Tamandua tetradactyla: one gene and its partner. The main gene of each other region encodes a partner of the protein of the gene in region 2 in a complex. Links are inferred from orthologs where the notes say so. Each region holds a gene or a part of one and is shown on either strand. Other genes may lie near its edges.

The links. Proteins that work in one complex are often made in the same cells at the same time.
Region 1: the proteins of MUS81 (region 2) and EME2 are in contact, whole or in part, in a crystal structure (PDB 7F6L), measured with the Homo sapiens proteins. The link is inferred for Tamandua tetradactyla from reciprocal best matches to the Homo sapiens genes MUS81 and EME2. Residues at the interface, in NP_079404.3 of Homo sapiens: His330, Glu351, Phe354, Lys357, Arg358, Arg363, Val365, Glu381, Leu385, Gln386, Thr389, Asn390, Gln392, Val393, Ile394, Phe398, Lys400, Arg401, Tyr411, Leu414, Leu415, Arg417, Gly418, Leu419, Arg421, Leu422, Pro447, Ile464, Lys467, Ala468; in NP_001244299.1 of Homo sapiens: Glu140, Arg177, His179, Glu220, Glu221, Val224, Leu225, Gln227, Leu228, Trp229, Asn231, Leu232, Asp233, Leu235, Arg245, His246, Ala249, Val250, Lys252, Ala253, Leu254, Gln256, Tyr257, Lys260, Gln261, Glu264, Gln266, Phe268, Phe270, Cys271.

Annotation. Positions count from the first base shown.
Region 1 is NC_135349.1:55,714,265-55,721,727, forward strand, and holds the start of EME2 (structure-specific endonuclease subunit EME2), read right to left. Parts: upstream 3,002-7,463; coding exon 2,782-3,001; intron 2,485-2,781; coding exon 2,348-2,484; intron 1,950-2,347; coding exon 1,857-1,949; intron 1,351-1,856; coding exon 1,259-1,350; intron 1,118-1,258; coding exon 1,027-1,117; intron 938-1,026; coding exon 822-937; intron 672-821; coding exon 482-671; intron 411-481; coding exon 240-410; 3' UTR 1-239. Other genes in the region: MRPS34 (small ribosomal subunit protein mS34), read left to right, coding at 3,143-3,463, 3,644-3,686, 3,758-4,050; NME3 (nucleoside diphosphate kinase 3), read left to right, coding at 4,748-4,793, 4,868-4,998, 5,079-5,180, 5,306-5,418, 5,530-5,647; MAPK8IP3 (C-Jun-amino-terminal kinase-interacting protein 3), read right to left, coding at 7,374-7,463. UniProt on the Homo sapiens protein: Non-catalytic subunit of the structure-specific, heterodimeric DNA endonuclease MUS81-EME2 which is involved in the maintenance of genome stability. In the complex, EME2 is required for DNA cleavage, participating in DNA recognition and bending.
Region 2 is NC_135335.1:8,665,141-8,672,258, forward strand, and holds the start of MUS81 (structure-specific endonuclease subunit MUS81), read right to left. Parts: upstream 3,017-7,118; 5' UTR 2,752-3,016; coding exon 2,617-2,751; intron 2,523-2,616; coding exon 2,393-2,522; intron 2,185-2,392; coding exon 2,099-2,184; intron 1,576-2,098; coding exon 1,477-1,575; intron 1,380-1,476; coding exon 1,311-1,379; intron 1,123-1,310; coding exon 1,037-1,122; intron 506-1,036; coding exon 365-505; intron 165-364; coding exon 69-164; intron 1-68. Other genes in the region: CFL1 (cofilin-1), read left to right, coding at 5,352-5,354. UniProt on the Homo sapiens protein: Catalytic subunit of two functionally distinct, structure-specific, heterodimeric DNA endonucleases MUS81-EME1 and MUS81-EME2 that are involved in the maintenance of genome stability.

The DNA of each region.
Region 1 (7,463 bases), on a different chromosome or scaffold from region 2:
GGGTCATTAGCACCTGCCCTGCTCCCAGACCTCCCCTCACACTCAACTTGGGGTCAGGTCCAACCCAGATGGAAACAGGCCTGCCCGAGGCCCTGCCGTGCCTTCGCTCCAGGCTGAAGGTGCAGGACTCCCAGGTTTCCCCACTGTGGGTGGCCTTTCCTGTTCCCCATCCCAGCCCCGTGAGCCCCCATCCCAGCCCCGTGAGCCCCATGCTGCCGGGCTGGGGGCAGGAGGTGCCATCAGGAGCCCAGGTCCAGCAGGAGGTCAGGGTTGGTGGTGGTCAGGAAGAGGCAGATGCGGCGGGAAAGGTCGGGTCCCAGCCTGCGAGGTCGCAGGCCCTCTGGCGCTGTCACGGGGAGGTCAGCCAGCAGGGCCAGCTGTTCCTGCTCGGTGCTGCAGGCCACGTAAGCCTAGGACAGGCAGGGAGGTGGGCAGGAAGCCTGGCCCAACCCCATCCCCAGGTCTGGCTGGGGGAGTTTACCTGCTGAAGGAGGCGGGGGGAGGGGAAGGCAGCCACAACAGCCTCGGCCGCGGCTGGGCCCACTCGGTTAAACTGGCTGATCTGCCTGTGCCAGGCCCTCCGCAGCCCCGTGCCATCTCGTGCCACGCGCTCCCCCCCTGCCCAGCGTCCGGCTGTGCAGAAGGAGAACGCCTGGGCCTCCCGGTATCGCCTAGAGACGGGCGGAGCACAGGGTCCTTCCAGAAGGTCCATGCTGCTCTGCTGCCCCTCCCCTCCAGCCTCCATGAAGTCTCAAAGAGGTAGGGACACCCACCCCCTGCCAGCCCCTCCCAGCCAGGCCCTGGGTGAGGGAGGCGCGTACTTGTAGGGGCGCTGGGCCAAGGCTCTGGTGAAGGCGCACACGTGCTCACTCAGCTCCTGCCAGGATGCCACCAGCAGTACGTCCAGCTCCGCCCAGAGCTGTAGGAGCACCAGGGCCTGAGGAGCAGGGAGCCGCAGGGTGGGTCGGAAGGCTCTCTGGGAGACACACTGCAGCCAGCCCGCGCCAGGCTCCAGCCCAGTCTCACCTCCTCCACCTGGGGCCAGCCGACGGCCCCCTCGGCACCAGTCACTGCTGGGCTCCCCTGCTGGATCCCCTGGCCACTGGGCTGGTGAGACCTGAGCAGAGGTGGATTCTGGCCCCACCCTCCTTGGGTTCTCCGGCTTCCCCCAAAGCCTACCCAGTGGAGTCCCAGAAATACCACCCCACCTTCCCTGGCTCCCAAGGTCCCTCCCAGAGGAAATGAGGGTGAGCGGTACCACAGGTAGGCATCCAGCCCGATGACGGCCAGGTGGGGGCGGGCGGGGCTTTCGGGACAAATCCAGGGCACCGAGCAAGCTGGGTCAGACCCCTGTAAGCCAAGGCTGTGTCCACACCCAGCGCGCCAGGCTGGTGTGGGCCTCCATGGTGTCAGGGTGGCTAAGAAGGCCTGTGGGCACGCTTCCTCCTTCGTGGGCCACCCCTGCGCCCCCCAAGCCAAGGTCTGGCGAGGCTACAACAGGTGCTTGAGAAATGCTGGGTCCTGGATGCTGGGACTGGGCAGAAGGTCTAACTGGGTAGCGCTCTGGCACAAGAATCACACGTGTTTTCCACTCCAGGCAAAGGGAGTTGCACAGCCAGTCCCAGACCCTTCCCTCTTGCCCGCACACAGCCTCTGCCTCCCACCTTCCATATTGCCTGGTCCCCTAGAAACAGCTGTGGCTCCCACCTGTTCATCTCACCTGCTGTCTCTGTGGTTTCAGAACAGAGCAGCAGCTGGGGCTGCCCAATGCACTCAGGCAAATACCCTCCCCCAGGAGCAACGACTGAGCCCATGAACTGAGAAGGACCCAGCCTGTCCCCCAGCCCCCCCAGCACCTGGGTCAGCTGGGCAACACCCTGCAGAAACTCCCCTGGTTCCAGCAGCAGCAGCACTTCCTGCTCGTTCTCAGACCACACCTCCGGGGGCACCTGCTAGGACATCCAGAGGCATGACTGCCCACCCTCAGCCTGCAGATTCAGGCCCTGCCAGGACCGCTCCACACCAGCACCACATCCTGGCTCCTGCCAGGGCCAAGACCAGCCGTGCTCCGTGGGGCCAGCGGGAACACCGACCACACGCTGTCACGGGCATGGGGGGTCCTCAGCAGCTGGGACCAGGCTCTGGAGGCAAAGGCCCTAGCCCTGCGCCCCTGCCCTGCTTCCTCCTGCCACCCAGATGATGTTTCCAGTTCTCAGAGCACCTCTCTAAGGGCAGGCACCTTTCGGGACGGCTGGCAGTATGTGACATCATGCCCATAAGACATGGGATGCAGTGGGGTGCTGGGCAAACCCAGGAAGCAGGAGCCCTGCTGCTGCAGGTCACTCACGCTGAGGGGGCAGGGGTCGGGCCTCACTCTGCTCCACCTGAGACTGTGGGCCTGAGGCTGGGGCTCGATGAGGTACTCGCAGCCCAGGGCGGCCAGGGCCTCCTTCAGGATGTCCGCCCCAGCGTCTTCCAGGATGGCTGGACCAGCCCCGAAGGAGAGAGACTGTCACCCCCTCCTTCACCGCCACTGGGGGAGGGGGGGCCGGCAGACCCGCAGCCTGGCTGTGCAACGCAACCTCCCGGACATGCTTCTGACGCACACGCTGATTCCCGACCGGCTCTTGAGTGCAGACGGGGTCCAGACCCGGCAATCCGCATTTCTCACGAGGTGCCAGCCGGGAAGCAGGCAGCCGAGGCCCCGGGAACCCGCCCCTAATGGGCCGAGCTCAGCCCCAACGCCCGCGGTCCAAGCAGGGTGCAGGCAGGGCCCCGCACCTGGGTCCACGCGCACCGCCAGGCGCCGCAGGGCTCGCTCGGGCCGAAGCAGCCGCAGTGCCTCGACCGCCGCCCTGCGCTCCTCCGCCGGCTCCCGGGCCCTCGCGGGAACCTCCGCGGGGACGGGGCCCTCGGCGTCCGAGTCCGAGATCTCCCAGGTCGGGGGCCGTCGGTGGCCCCGGCGCGAGCCCGCAGCGCTCCCTGTCCCAGCCCTCGCCATGGCCGGCCCGCTTCCGGCCACGCCCGGACGCCTTTGCCGGGGGCAACGGCCGCTTCCGGCGGCGGGCGGGCCTCGGGGCGCGCGTCGGAGGCTGTTTCCGCCCGGAGCGCTGAGAGCGCGGACCGCCTCCGTGGGCCGGCGATGGCGCGGAAGAAGGTGAGGCCGCGGCTGATCGCGGAGCTGGCCCGGCGCGTGCGGGCCGTGCGCGAGCGGCGGGAGCGGCCGCGGGACTCGCAGCGCTACGCCCTGGACTACGAGACGCTGACGCGGCCGCACACGGGCCGCCAACTGCCCCAGCGGGCCTGGACCGACGCGCGCCGCGAGAGCCGCCTCCTGCAGCTGCTCAGCCGCCTGCCGCTCTTCGGCCTGGGCCGCCTGGTCACGCGCAAGTCCTGGCTGTGGCAGCACGACGAGCCGTGCTACTGGCGCCTCACGCGGGTCCGGCCCGACTATACGGCGCAGGTGCGTGTGCGCCCACCCGGGAGCCTGCCCGGGGCGCCCGTGCGCGTCGGGCCTCCCCTCGCGACCACCAAGGCCGCGATTGCCTTCCAGGTCCAGGCCACTGTTGGGACAGGGTCTCTGGCTCCTAAGCCCAGCGGTGAGGAGTTTGCTGAACTGGCACCCTCTCCATTTACTTTGCAGAACTTGGACCACGGGAAGGCCTGGGGTATCCTGACTTTCAAAGGTATGGCTTCGGGGACTGGGCAGGGAGGTTGCGTAGTAAGAGTGTGATAAGGCCAGTCACTGTCTCCCCAGGCAAGACGGAGAGCGAGGCCCGAGAGATCGAACAGGTCATGTACCACGACTGGCGGCTGGTGCCCAAGCACGAGGAGGAGGCTTTTGTTGCTTTCTCACCTGCGCCGGAGGAACCCCTGCGTCCTGTGCCCTACCCCCCACTCCTCAGGGCCATGATCCTCGCTGAACGACAGAAGAGGGGAGACGCCAGCACTGAAGAGCCCATGCTGAGTCTGGAGAGGACACGCATCGCCCCCTGGGACTACCCTGCAAAGCTGGAGGCCGAGAAGAAGGCCAAGGGCACTCCAGTCTAAGGCGGTGGAACCGGGCAGGCTGCCCGAGGGCTGCAAGGGGATGCAGACCCTTTGGCGAAAGAAATGGTCTTTGGCAGAGCTGGGATCGTACTTTCCAGTCGTGCCCTGTCTTACCCGAGACTGTGCAATCTAGCTGAGAGTGTCGCCCAAATCCTGCCTCTGGGTTCTCCCCCGCTCAGTTTTTAGAGCCAGAAGTGTGAGAGCCGCAGGAAGAAGCAGTTGGGGGAAAGTTGGAAGTAAGGGAGGCTAGGAGGCATGGAGGCCATGGGTTCCCTTATCCCGGAATCTCCAGCTCTCATCACTTCTGTGCTGGGTTCAGGCCCTTATAACGTGTTCTCTGCTTGGTTTAAGGGTGAAGCCCTGAGAGAGAATAAAGGTAAATGAAGGAGTCTGGGAAGTGGTTTCTTTGGGTTTGGGTTGTGGTGAGCTATGGCTGGTGGTCAGGACTGAAGGAAGACAGAAAGTTCTCATGACAGCTGTGCAGCTGGCCTGGGTCGTGGAGGGCTCTGGCCCAGTGTCCAGCGGGCCGGCGGTTTGGCGGGCAGGAGAGTTCGGCTCGCAGCCTCGGAAGGAGCTGCGACGCAGGGCAGAGGGGTCGAGGGTGCAGCCTGGGGCTTCGGGGCCGCGGGGTCGCGGCCCCTTTAAGCGCAGGCCCCGCCCCGCGCCTCCCCGCCGCGCTCGGGCCGCCGCCGCCATCATGATCTGTCTGATGCTGACCCTGTTCGCCCACCTCTTTCCCGCGGGTGAGCGCCAGGGGCGCGGGCGGGGTGGGTCCCAGGCGGGAAAACGGGCCGCGCCTTACACCGCACCCCCGCAGCCTGCCCAGGCGCGCACGAGCGCACCTTCCTGGCCGTGAAGCCGGACGGCGTGCAGCGGCGGCTGGTGGGCGAGATCGTGCGGCGCTTCGAGAGGAAGGGCTTCAAGCTGGTGGCGCTGAAGCTGCTGCAGGTGGGCGCGGGGCGGGGGCGGCGCGGGGGCCGCGGGGTGGGGGCGCGGGGGGGCGCGAGACCTGCACCCTCTGCCCGCAGGCCTCCGAGGAGCTGCTGCGGGAGCACTACGCCGAGCTGCGCGAGCGACCCTTCTACGGCCGCCTGGTCCGCTACATGGGCTCCGGCCCCGTGGTGGCCATGGTGAGCGCGGGCGGGCCCCGGGTCGCCCCTCGTCCTCCATCTCCCCGGCCCTACCTCCTGTCTCCCCGCGCGGGTTGTCTCCGGCCCGCGCTGACCCTACACCCCCGGGACCCCCGCCTGCACAGGTGTGGCAGGGGCTGGACGTGGTGCGCGCCTCTCGGGCGCTCATCGGGGCCACTGACCCGGCCGCTGCCCTGCCCGGCACCATCCGCGGGGATTTCTGCATCGAGATCGGCAAGTAAGGCCTGCAGGGTGGGCCTCGGCCTCTTCACCACCCCTTTATAGCCCCAGGTGGCATCCCTGACTGATCCGCCTCAGACTGGGCTCACACCGGGCCTCTTCCCGGCAGGAATGTGATCCACGGCAGCGACTCTGTGGACAGCGCCCGCCGTGAGATCGCACTCTGGTTCCATGCAGATGAGCTCCTGTGCTGGGAGGACAGCACCGAGCACTGGCTGCACGAGTAGCCACCTCTGGCACAGATGGGCATGGCTGAGAAAGGCTGGGGATGTCTGGCATGCGAGTGGGGATGCCGGGTCACAGCTGTCCACCTGCAGCAGGCCACTCCCGCACAGAGATCCTGTAACCCCAGGGCCTCCTGGGGGTCTGTCTGGAAGATCCTGACCGAGGTGGGCTTTGGAGTCCCAGATGAGCTCTTAGGAGGAGGTGGAGGACCCCAGCAGGGGTTCACAGCACACTTGGAATGCATACAAGCCACAGCCAGCCCTCTGGGAATACCATTTCCTTTTCTATAATAAAATGAAAGCCCTTGTGTTTGCCATGTTGGTTTCGTCACATAGAAAGGCAGAGGTAGGGCGCTAGGACGTTTATTACATACAGAACGGGTACGTGGGTTCACTTACAGGGCCAAAGCCTGAGGGCAGTTGTAACGTGGCCACTGCTCCCAGAGGCACCCACCCGGCTAACCCCCGAGTCCCTTCACACACCATGGGGACAGACAAGGGACTGTACATACATCACAGTGGAGAGGTGGGGCAGAGGAGACAAGCCTGCAGCGTTTGGTGCTGCAGTGGCGCCAGGCCGAATGATGGCAGCCCGAGATCTGTGCTTCTCTGGTGGGCTTGGGTGGGCAGCGGGGCTGGGCTGCCCAGATTCAGGGCCTCATGGAGCAAAAACAAGGCAGGGGTAGGAACGGGAGGGGAAGCGGGCAAGGCCATTCCCTCAGTGAGGGCCGACCAGGGTGGTGAGACTGCAGGCAGGTGGCAGGAGCCCACCTGGGAGCTGAGCCCCCTCCCATGCACACGCGTGGAGTCCCTCAGGCCTGTGCGCAGCAGCCTCTTTCAGCTGCCCCCAGGAGAGCAGGCCGCCTCGGCCAACCCTAGGCACTTAGTCATGTGTCTGGAGCTAGGACTCCTCGGGGCGCTGGGCACGTGAAGACCCCCACCAGCCTGAGCCTGAGGAGAGGCCCCTTCTTCCTGAGCCTGGGCCTGCCCTGGCGGCCTGAGAAACCCCACCCTGGGGGCTGTGAGGAGGGGCAGGGCTCCAGAGCCAGCTCCCTCGAGGCCCTGCTCTGAGGACGGTGGGAGTAGGGGAATTGGGTTGGTGAGGGCAGAGTGGAGCCTACGTCTTGGAAGGGGACCTGGCCTGTCCTCTTGTGCACTGCCACAAGGAGCCCGGCCAGATGCTGTCATGCCAAATCCCCAGACACCAGGGCTGAGGGAACAGAAGTTTGGGGAGGGGGCCAACCCCAGGAGGACTAGCAGGGTCCAGGCACTGGGGTGCAGGCACCAGGGGCATCCACAACCCTAGCTCCCTGGGAAAAAGCCAGACCCTCAGCCCTGCCCTCTCAGGAAGAGGGAAAGCCTAGGAGACAGGCTTGGACCCCCTTTCCCCGAGGGGTGACAAGTGTCCAAAGACAAGTGGGCTCAGGGTGGGAAGACTCTCCAGTGCCCTGGGGAATTCCTGGGGCTGAAGGGAGTGGGAAGCCCTAGGAGTGCTGCCTGCTCTGGCCCTGAGATGCCCCTGGGACTTGGCTTGGGCTGGCTGTCGGCCAGGAATTGCTGGGGAAAGAGTGTCCCAAGAGGTTCCGGCGCCTGCAGGTGCAAGTGCCAGCCCTGCTCCCACTCCTCCTGGGCCCTTGGGGGGGAAGCTGCGAGTTGAGTTGAGAGGTTGGCGGGGGGTGGGCATGGTGCTGCCTGCAGGGAGGGCTGCCCAGGTGGACGGGTGAGCAGCTCACTCAGGGATGTAGGAGACCTGCCACACGATGACGTGACTGCGCTCTGCCTTGGAGAGCGCGGGCTTCACCTGGCTCACGTCTGCGGT
Region 2 (7,118 bases):
CAGGGCAGGCGGCACTCCCCCCTTGGCATTCTGCTGATACCTCCACCCTGTTCCCGCACCACACTCACCCCGTGGTCTCGCCGACATCCACACACAATAGCAGGCTGTACTCTCCAGGCCCCAGCTCCAGCAGTGGCTGCTGGACCCCCGCTTCGCCGGCACCACTGCAGGGAGGGGCGGTTAGTGCGTGGGGAGACAGGAATCCCCAGGGTCAAGGCAGACCAACTCTTCCCACCATGGGTACAGGCAGGGAGCAGCCGGGCTCAGCTGCAGGTGATGGACGTAGGGGTATGGTGTTGGCCTCATTTCAGAGAGCCCTCCTGCTCCACTGGGCTCTGCCCCCATAGCTTCCCCTCCCACTCACAGCTCAGCTGAAGCTGTTCCTGGCACTTCTGCCTCCTCCCCAGGGGGCTCTTCTGGCCTGATACCCACATTCAGTGAGCTCAGTCCCTCCAACTCAGCCAGCTTCTGGGCCAGCTCCAGGCCCTCCGGGGTCAGTGAGTACCTGGAAGACCCAATTGATGAACACAGATCTCCTTTTTTCACCGAAGCCTGGCAGGCTTTCCCGCTTGCCCCCAGTGAGGCTGCCTGCCCTGCCCCCTTGGCGACCCTGCACAATAAGTCTCCTGGGTTCCCCTCCCCAGGCTGTCCTTGCCCTGCACGATCAGACTGGCTTCCTCTGGACCTCCCCAGCACCACTTCTCAGATCTCAGGTGGTAAGCATGCCTCAAACTTTCCTTTTTTCCCAGCTTTGCTCATGCTGTTCTCTCCTCCTGAAATGTCTTTCCTGCATCTCTTTGCATTGGATTCTAAGACATGTCAGATACTGCCTCCTCAGCAAAGCCTTTCTGCTTCTCCAGTAACCCCTGGCAATCTTCTTCCACTCATTGCCTCCATCTCTCAGACCCTCCTGGTACCCTTGCCCCAGTCTCCATAGTGCCTAGCATGAAGCCTGGGCATTGCTGGATGAATGCAGCACCCCACGAAGATGTCATGCCCCCTCTCTGCTTCCTGTGTCTCCCCGAGTTGGTTCCACCTGGCTGGCTGGTGTGTCCTGAGGATGAGGTTCCTGTGAAGGAGGGAACGGAGGGCTGGCCAGGGTCGAGCACTCTCAGGGGCTACCTGTTGATGGGGAGGCAGGGTAGGTTGAGGCTCTCAGGGATTCACTGGAGCTGAGTGTCCACATTATCCCTGCTCCCAGCCATGGGTCCGACCCCACATATTGCTCACTCCTGATGGATAGTCTCTGGTGGGCTCAGGGTTAGAAGTAAAGTTGCTCAGCCCCATCCTCCTTCTACCCCAGTGCTCACCTTAGGAGCCTTCTGAGAACACCTCTGCAGCAGCTGCTCCTTGGTTAGGAAGCCAGGGCTGCCAGGTGTCTGAAACCAAGGTCAAAATGATAGGGTAGGCTCAGCCCCCTTTGCTCTGCTCCCACTGCCTCTGTTCTCCCAACTCCTGGGCAGGCCAGACACTCACCAGGTGCTCCTCATAAAGCAGCAGCAGCACCACTCGTGGCCCTGAGTGCCGAGCTGGCCAGTAGCCACCAGAGCCTCCTGCCTTGGGCTTGGCTGGAACCTGCCAGGTACAGAGGGCTCTGAACAGTGGCTCTGTGGGGACGCCTGGCAGGGCCAGAGGACTTGAGGTTTAGGTCGACCAAGTCACTCAGCTGCCTCTCAGTTTTATTTGCAAAACTAGTCAGATGACTGGATGATTCCCTGCAAAGCTGGGCTGGGACAGGGAATGGTTGTGGGGGACTGGAACTGCCTGATCCAGCCTCAGTTCTCCAGAACCGCTGCCCACGGTACAATCTCAGTAAAGGGCAACTCAGTAATGGCAACCTCAACGATGTACCGGGCTGGGCCCCCTATGAAGCTTGCTCATAGAACTTTCTGAAAGATTCCTGCCAATATCCCTGCCTACAGATGAGAAAACAAGTCTCAGAGAGGATATCACTTGCCGGAGGCCAGGCATCACTGATGGGGAGATTTGTCTCCAGGCCTGCTAAATGTCAAATATTCCTCAAAATCATCCATATCACCAGATAAACCTTATTTCTGGTGATCCCATCTTTCCTTCTGCTCCCCGGCCCCCTCCTCACCGACACAGAAGGATCCTGGGCTTCTGCAGGTGGCCCATCCTGGGCAGGGCTCTTTCTTCCAGGTGGTGAGCCCGGTTCATGGGCACCTGCGGAGCCAGACGAGAGTCATTCCTGGCATTCCCACAGGAATCCGGCAGCTGGGGAGGAGGCTGGGAGGGACTCTGCCACTGGCCAGAGATCAAGTAGCAACTGGGACAGGTGTGCGAGAGCTTGAAGCCCAGGTATCCGAGGTGGGCACAGAGGCTGCACCTGGGTGGGCGGCTGGAGACGACCACCCCCGGCCCCTGCGCTCACCGCCGGATGCTCGGTGCTGCTGCAGCCGCTCGTCAAGCATCCGGCACAGCCGGTCTCCGAAGTGCTGTAGGATCTTAGCTTCCTTCCCGCTGCGCAGGGGCAGTGGGTATCGCCGGAGGGAGCGCAGCGCCTGGCGGGGAGAAGTGGTGCGGTACCGGGTCAGGGCAGGCCTCCGCGTCCAGCCCGGCCAGCGTTGGTCCCCTTCGGGCCCGGCCGGGACCCACCTTCTGAAATACAAAGTGAGTGCGGCGCCCCCTGCTGGCGGCCTCGTCCCGCCACTCGGTCAGCCAGCGGACGAAGAGCGGGTTGGGACAAACCGGCAGTGGGCGCTTCCGGCCCAGGCGGACGCGCGCCGCCATGGGCGCCGCGGCAGGCCTCAAGCTCGCGGGACTGCGACGCCGCCCGCTCGGGAGAGAGATTCGAACACCTGGCTCCGAGGGGAGGCGGGCCTCTCCGATCACGTGGTCCCGCCCGCGAGACACTAACTCCGGGCTAGCCTCCCTTCCCCCTCCCCGCCCCTACACTTCTCTAAGTGGCTCCCGGCGCCATCTCCGCGGCTCAGCGCTCCGCTCGCTCCCACCGCCCAACTCGGCCTCGGCCCGCGCCCCACCCGGGCCCCGCGAGCCTCAGCCACGCCCCTCCGCCCACTTCCGCGTCCAGAGCCCGGGCGATTAGGGAAGATCCTCCGCGGGCGGGCGAAAGCAAGGCGGACAGCGCCCCCTGCGGCTGGCAGTGCGCGTTGCGGGCGCGCTTAACCGAGCTTTTCCGCCTCATCCTTGCAGAGCCTGGGCAGCCCGACTGGGCTTACGAGGAGTCCCGGAGAGGGATGGTGGGTGGGAGATGGGTGCACGTGTATTTGCGGGAGGAATATCTACGTGAGGATACAGGGGAGGGCACAGAGGGAAGGCAGGAGTTGCTGAAGGACCACCGGAGGAAATGGCGGTCAGGAGTTAGGGGTCGCAGGGCAGAGTGGGGACCGTGAAATCGGGGACTTGAAAAGAGGGCCGAAGCCAGACGGGCGGGATAAGGCCGAGGGCAGGTAGAAGGGGACTACAGGTAGGAGGTGCTGGTAGGTGGGGAGCCTGAGATGGGGTGCGCATGATTGGATCCGGGGTAGCAGGCTGCGGGTAAGAAGCCGAGACAGAGGGAGAAGGGGAGAACACTTTGGACGTTTTTGTGGCACATTGGAGGTGGGGCACCCCCAGGGGGTTTGAAGAACCGTGTAAAGGGGTTCAAGGTTGAGGGGCTGGGCTTAAGGGTCTCACTAGGGAGTTGGAGCAGACCCAGGCCTCGGGCTGATATGCCGGAAGTCGCTAGATGCAGATCTCCAGGCCCGCCCCTCGAGACCTCACCCAGTCCGCGACCCTGGTACCCCGAAACCGCTAGGGACGCCCGCCTCCCGCCAGAAGCGGCCTTATAAGGAGCCTGGAGCCGGCGTTCGGGCTGGTCCCACCCCCTCCAGTCTCCTGTCCTAATAAGGACATCTAGGGCATCCCGCGGCTGGGGGGTGGGCGGGAGCACGTCTCCAGGGTAACTACCAAGCCCGCCCCACTCCCCTCGCTGCGCTTGAAAACTGCGAAGCGCGAAAAAGGTGGGATCAACTTACCAGTCTGGCACGCGCCCTTGTGAAAGATGGGGTTCGAGCTGCGGCCTCCCCCTGGGGCTCCCGGGAGCTCGAGGGTGGGGGTGGGGGTGGGGGAGGTACAGCAGCAGATCCCGGACTACAAATCCCGGCATGTTCTGCGAGGTACCCCCACTCCCGGGCTTCGCGAAGACCCGGCTGCCTGCTCTCCGTTAACACCCGTTATTCGGCTTATGAGATCCACGCCCCCGGTCCCATTGCTGGGTTTGTCTCTGACTTGTTTGCAATCTTGCCTTTTCTTGCAGGGTGTGAGGTCATGGTCATTGTCCCGGTCAGCGAAGTCTTCCCGGAGCCCTTCACCCCAAACGGTTTATTTCGTTAGTTTCAGTTTTTGCGGGTATTAGTTTAATCATCTAACTGGCTATCAACTCGAGAACAGCAACTTGAACAGGAGTGGGGAGCTTGAAGTCAAGGTATCCGAGGTGGGCACGGAGATTCGAGTCAGGTTTAATATGTTTCCTTTCCTCTGTGTCTAGTAAAAGGCACGTAGAGAATCCTTGAATTGAATGCACAAATCCTTGCCCTCCCTTTTCATTGCCCCATGGATGAATGTCTGCCAAACATCTTTAAACAAGGACAAAGTCCTCCTTTCAAAGTTTTCCCTGTAGCCTGCCTGTCCCTTGTGTTTCTTTTCTCCTTTTTTTTTTTTTTTTAAAGTTGCGTATGGCCTTTTCTCGGGGGACAAGAGTGGCTGTGCACACGGAGGGTGCTGAGTGAATGCTGGATTGAAGGCCCTTGTACTTGTCATTTTCCTTGCTTTAGAACTGGATTCCAGTTCATGGATAATTGCTTCCATTCCGAAAAGCAAAATCCTAACCCCACTCAAACTGGCCAGACTGAGAGATCCAGAAAGTGCCAACATGGGTCTGAGGAAAATCGTTTGGCTTCGGGATAAAGAGCCGCCAAGTCGGGGCTCCTTTCCCTGTCAACCTTTACTTGCGGCGGCACAGATTGCTCAGGTCAGCGCGTTTCCTAGGAAACCACCAATGGGCGCGTTCTCCGTTCCCACTGCCCGCCTCCCGACCCCCTCCCCGCAACCTTGGACTACACTTTCCGGCATGCAGTGCGGGGCCGGAGGCCGGCTGTCGAGAAAGACCCCGCTACCAGCCGAGCCGGAGGACGGCGCAGGACCCTCGGACTTCATTTCCCGTCCGCCCGCGGGGAGGGGCGCCGGAAGCCCGCCCCGCCCCTCATTGTGCGGCTCATACTAAACGGAAGGGGTCGGGAGAGGCCGCGTTCAGTCGGATCTCGGCGGCAGCTGCAGCGGTTCTCATCTTCTCCGGTTCTCCTTGCTGTGTCCCTTTAGCATCCAGAAACATGGTGAGCGGCAGGCCTCAGCGCCCGAGGGGAGGCGGCTGCGGGCCGGTCGTCTGTGCGCACGGCAGGGGACGGGGAGCGACGTCGGCACCCCTCAGCCGGCGCCGCGGGCGGGACGAGGGTCTCGCGCTGAGGGGCGGGCGGCTCGGGGTGCGCGTGCGCGCCCGCGGGCGCCGAGGAGGGCCGGCTCGGACGTCGCTCGCGCGCCCCCTGGCCTCCCCTCCCCTCCCCCATCCCGCTGATGCGCCCGCGCGGACATCAGTCGTGGGGGGAGGGGTCCGGGTCGCGCGCGCGCCTGCCCCTCGCGATGCAGCCGGCGCGCGGCGGCGCGGACCGAAGCGAGTCGGTTCCCGTGGGGCGCGCGCTCGACCGGGGCATGCGGCGTTCAGAGCCCGGGGGCGGCGAGGGGAAGGCGCGCGAGCGTTTTGGGCACGTGCGCCCCACCCAAGGGCTGTTCGTGCCTCCGCGCCATCCTCCCTCGGCCGGCTAACGGGCCTGTCTGGAGAGCAGGTGGCAGGGATGCCCGGGAAGGGCGGGGGCGGCGCGGCTAAAGCGGGGATGCTGGGGCGGCGGAGAGCGGGTGGGAACCTGGTCGGGCTGGATTTGGGGCCTCCCCTCCAACGCCCGCGCACGGGAGCGAGCGAACCCGCAAAGCGATCCGGGTCCTCTGCTGGGTATACCCGGCACGGGCTGGAACGGCGCTGGCGGCCGGCGCGTGCGCACACGCTCGGGCCCGGCCGCGGGGGCCGAGGCCCTGGACAAGCGGGGCCATCGGCCTACCCAGATGGCCTGAGGGTGGAGCCGAGCCGAGGGAAATGACCCAGGCGGTTACCGCTTGAGAACACCCCGCCCACTGTGCTCGACCTGAGCTGTCCAACTTTCGTGCCGCAGGGGATAGGGTTTGAAATGCCCGTCGGGAAAAGCGGTGCTAAGGGTTAAGGGCCCGGAGGTGCTGCTGCCTCGGGCAAGGGTTTCTCTCTTGGGGAGGGCCAGGCCTAACCTATCTTCTCCCACTCCGGAAGCGGCTGCGTCACGTGGCCGGCTTCCTCTGCAGTTCCAGAGAGGGGAGTACAGATTTCACCGCGGACAGTCCCTGTCTTTCCTTACTGGGGCTTCCCCTAGGAGGACGTAGGGTAGAAGTTTAAAAAACTCTCTAGCACTCTGGGCTCTAGAGTTTGGGTTGTTAGCTTCTACCGATGATCTCTGAGGCCTTGCATCATCCCCCGGGGACAGAATTGTCCTGCAGAGCCCTCATTGGAAGATGTCATTCTTGTTTTAGTTGGGGGACAACTAAAACAATAATTTAGTGAATAATTTAGGTAATAACTGTATTGAGCAGTTGTGATGAACTGTTGGACACCGTGGTGTCCCGTCTAGCGTTTGGGGTTCTGGCTACCTGTTCCCTGAAGAGAAGACCCATGGCCTAGGTGTTTGGGTCCTCTTACCATCTCTGAGATATTCCAGGTCAGCACTTTTCTCACAAGCCAAGATTGAGTATTCTGAGTAGGAAACGCATTGGTAGCCTGTGGATTCGTTTTCATGCTGGGTTGGCATCTCAGCTGAGGTCCTGCTTGTCCCGCGTCATCAGTTTCCCTGCCTGTGAAACGCAGGGGGGTGTAGAACTATGTGATCCGAGGTCTTCTCCATGGCTGCCGTCCTGTGGTTGTCTCCCATGTCCCATCCAGTCCTTTGGCAGTGGCTTGTGTGGGGAAAATAATGACATTTGCCTTGGAGTGTGGGGTCATGGACTATACTGTGGCATCCAGA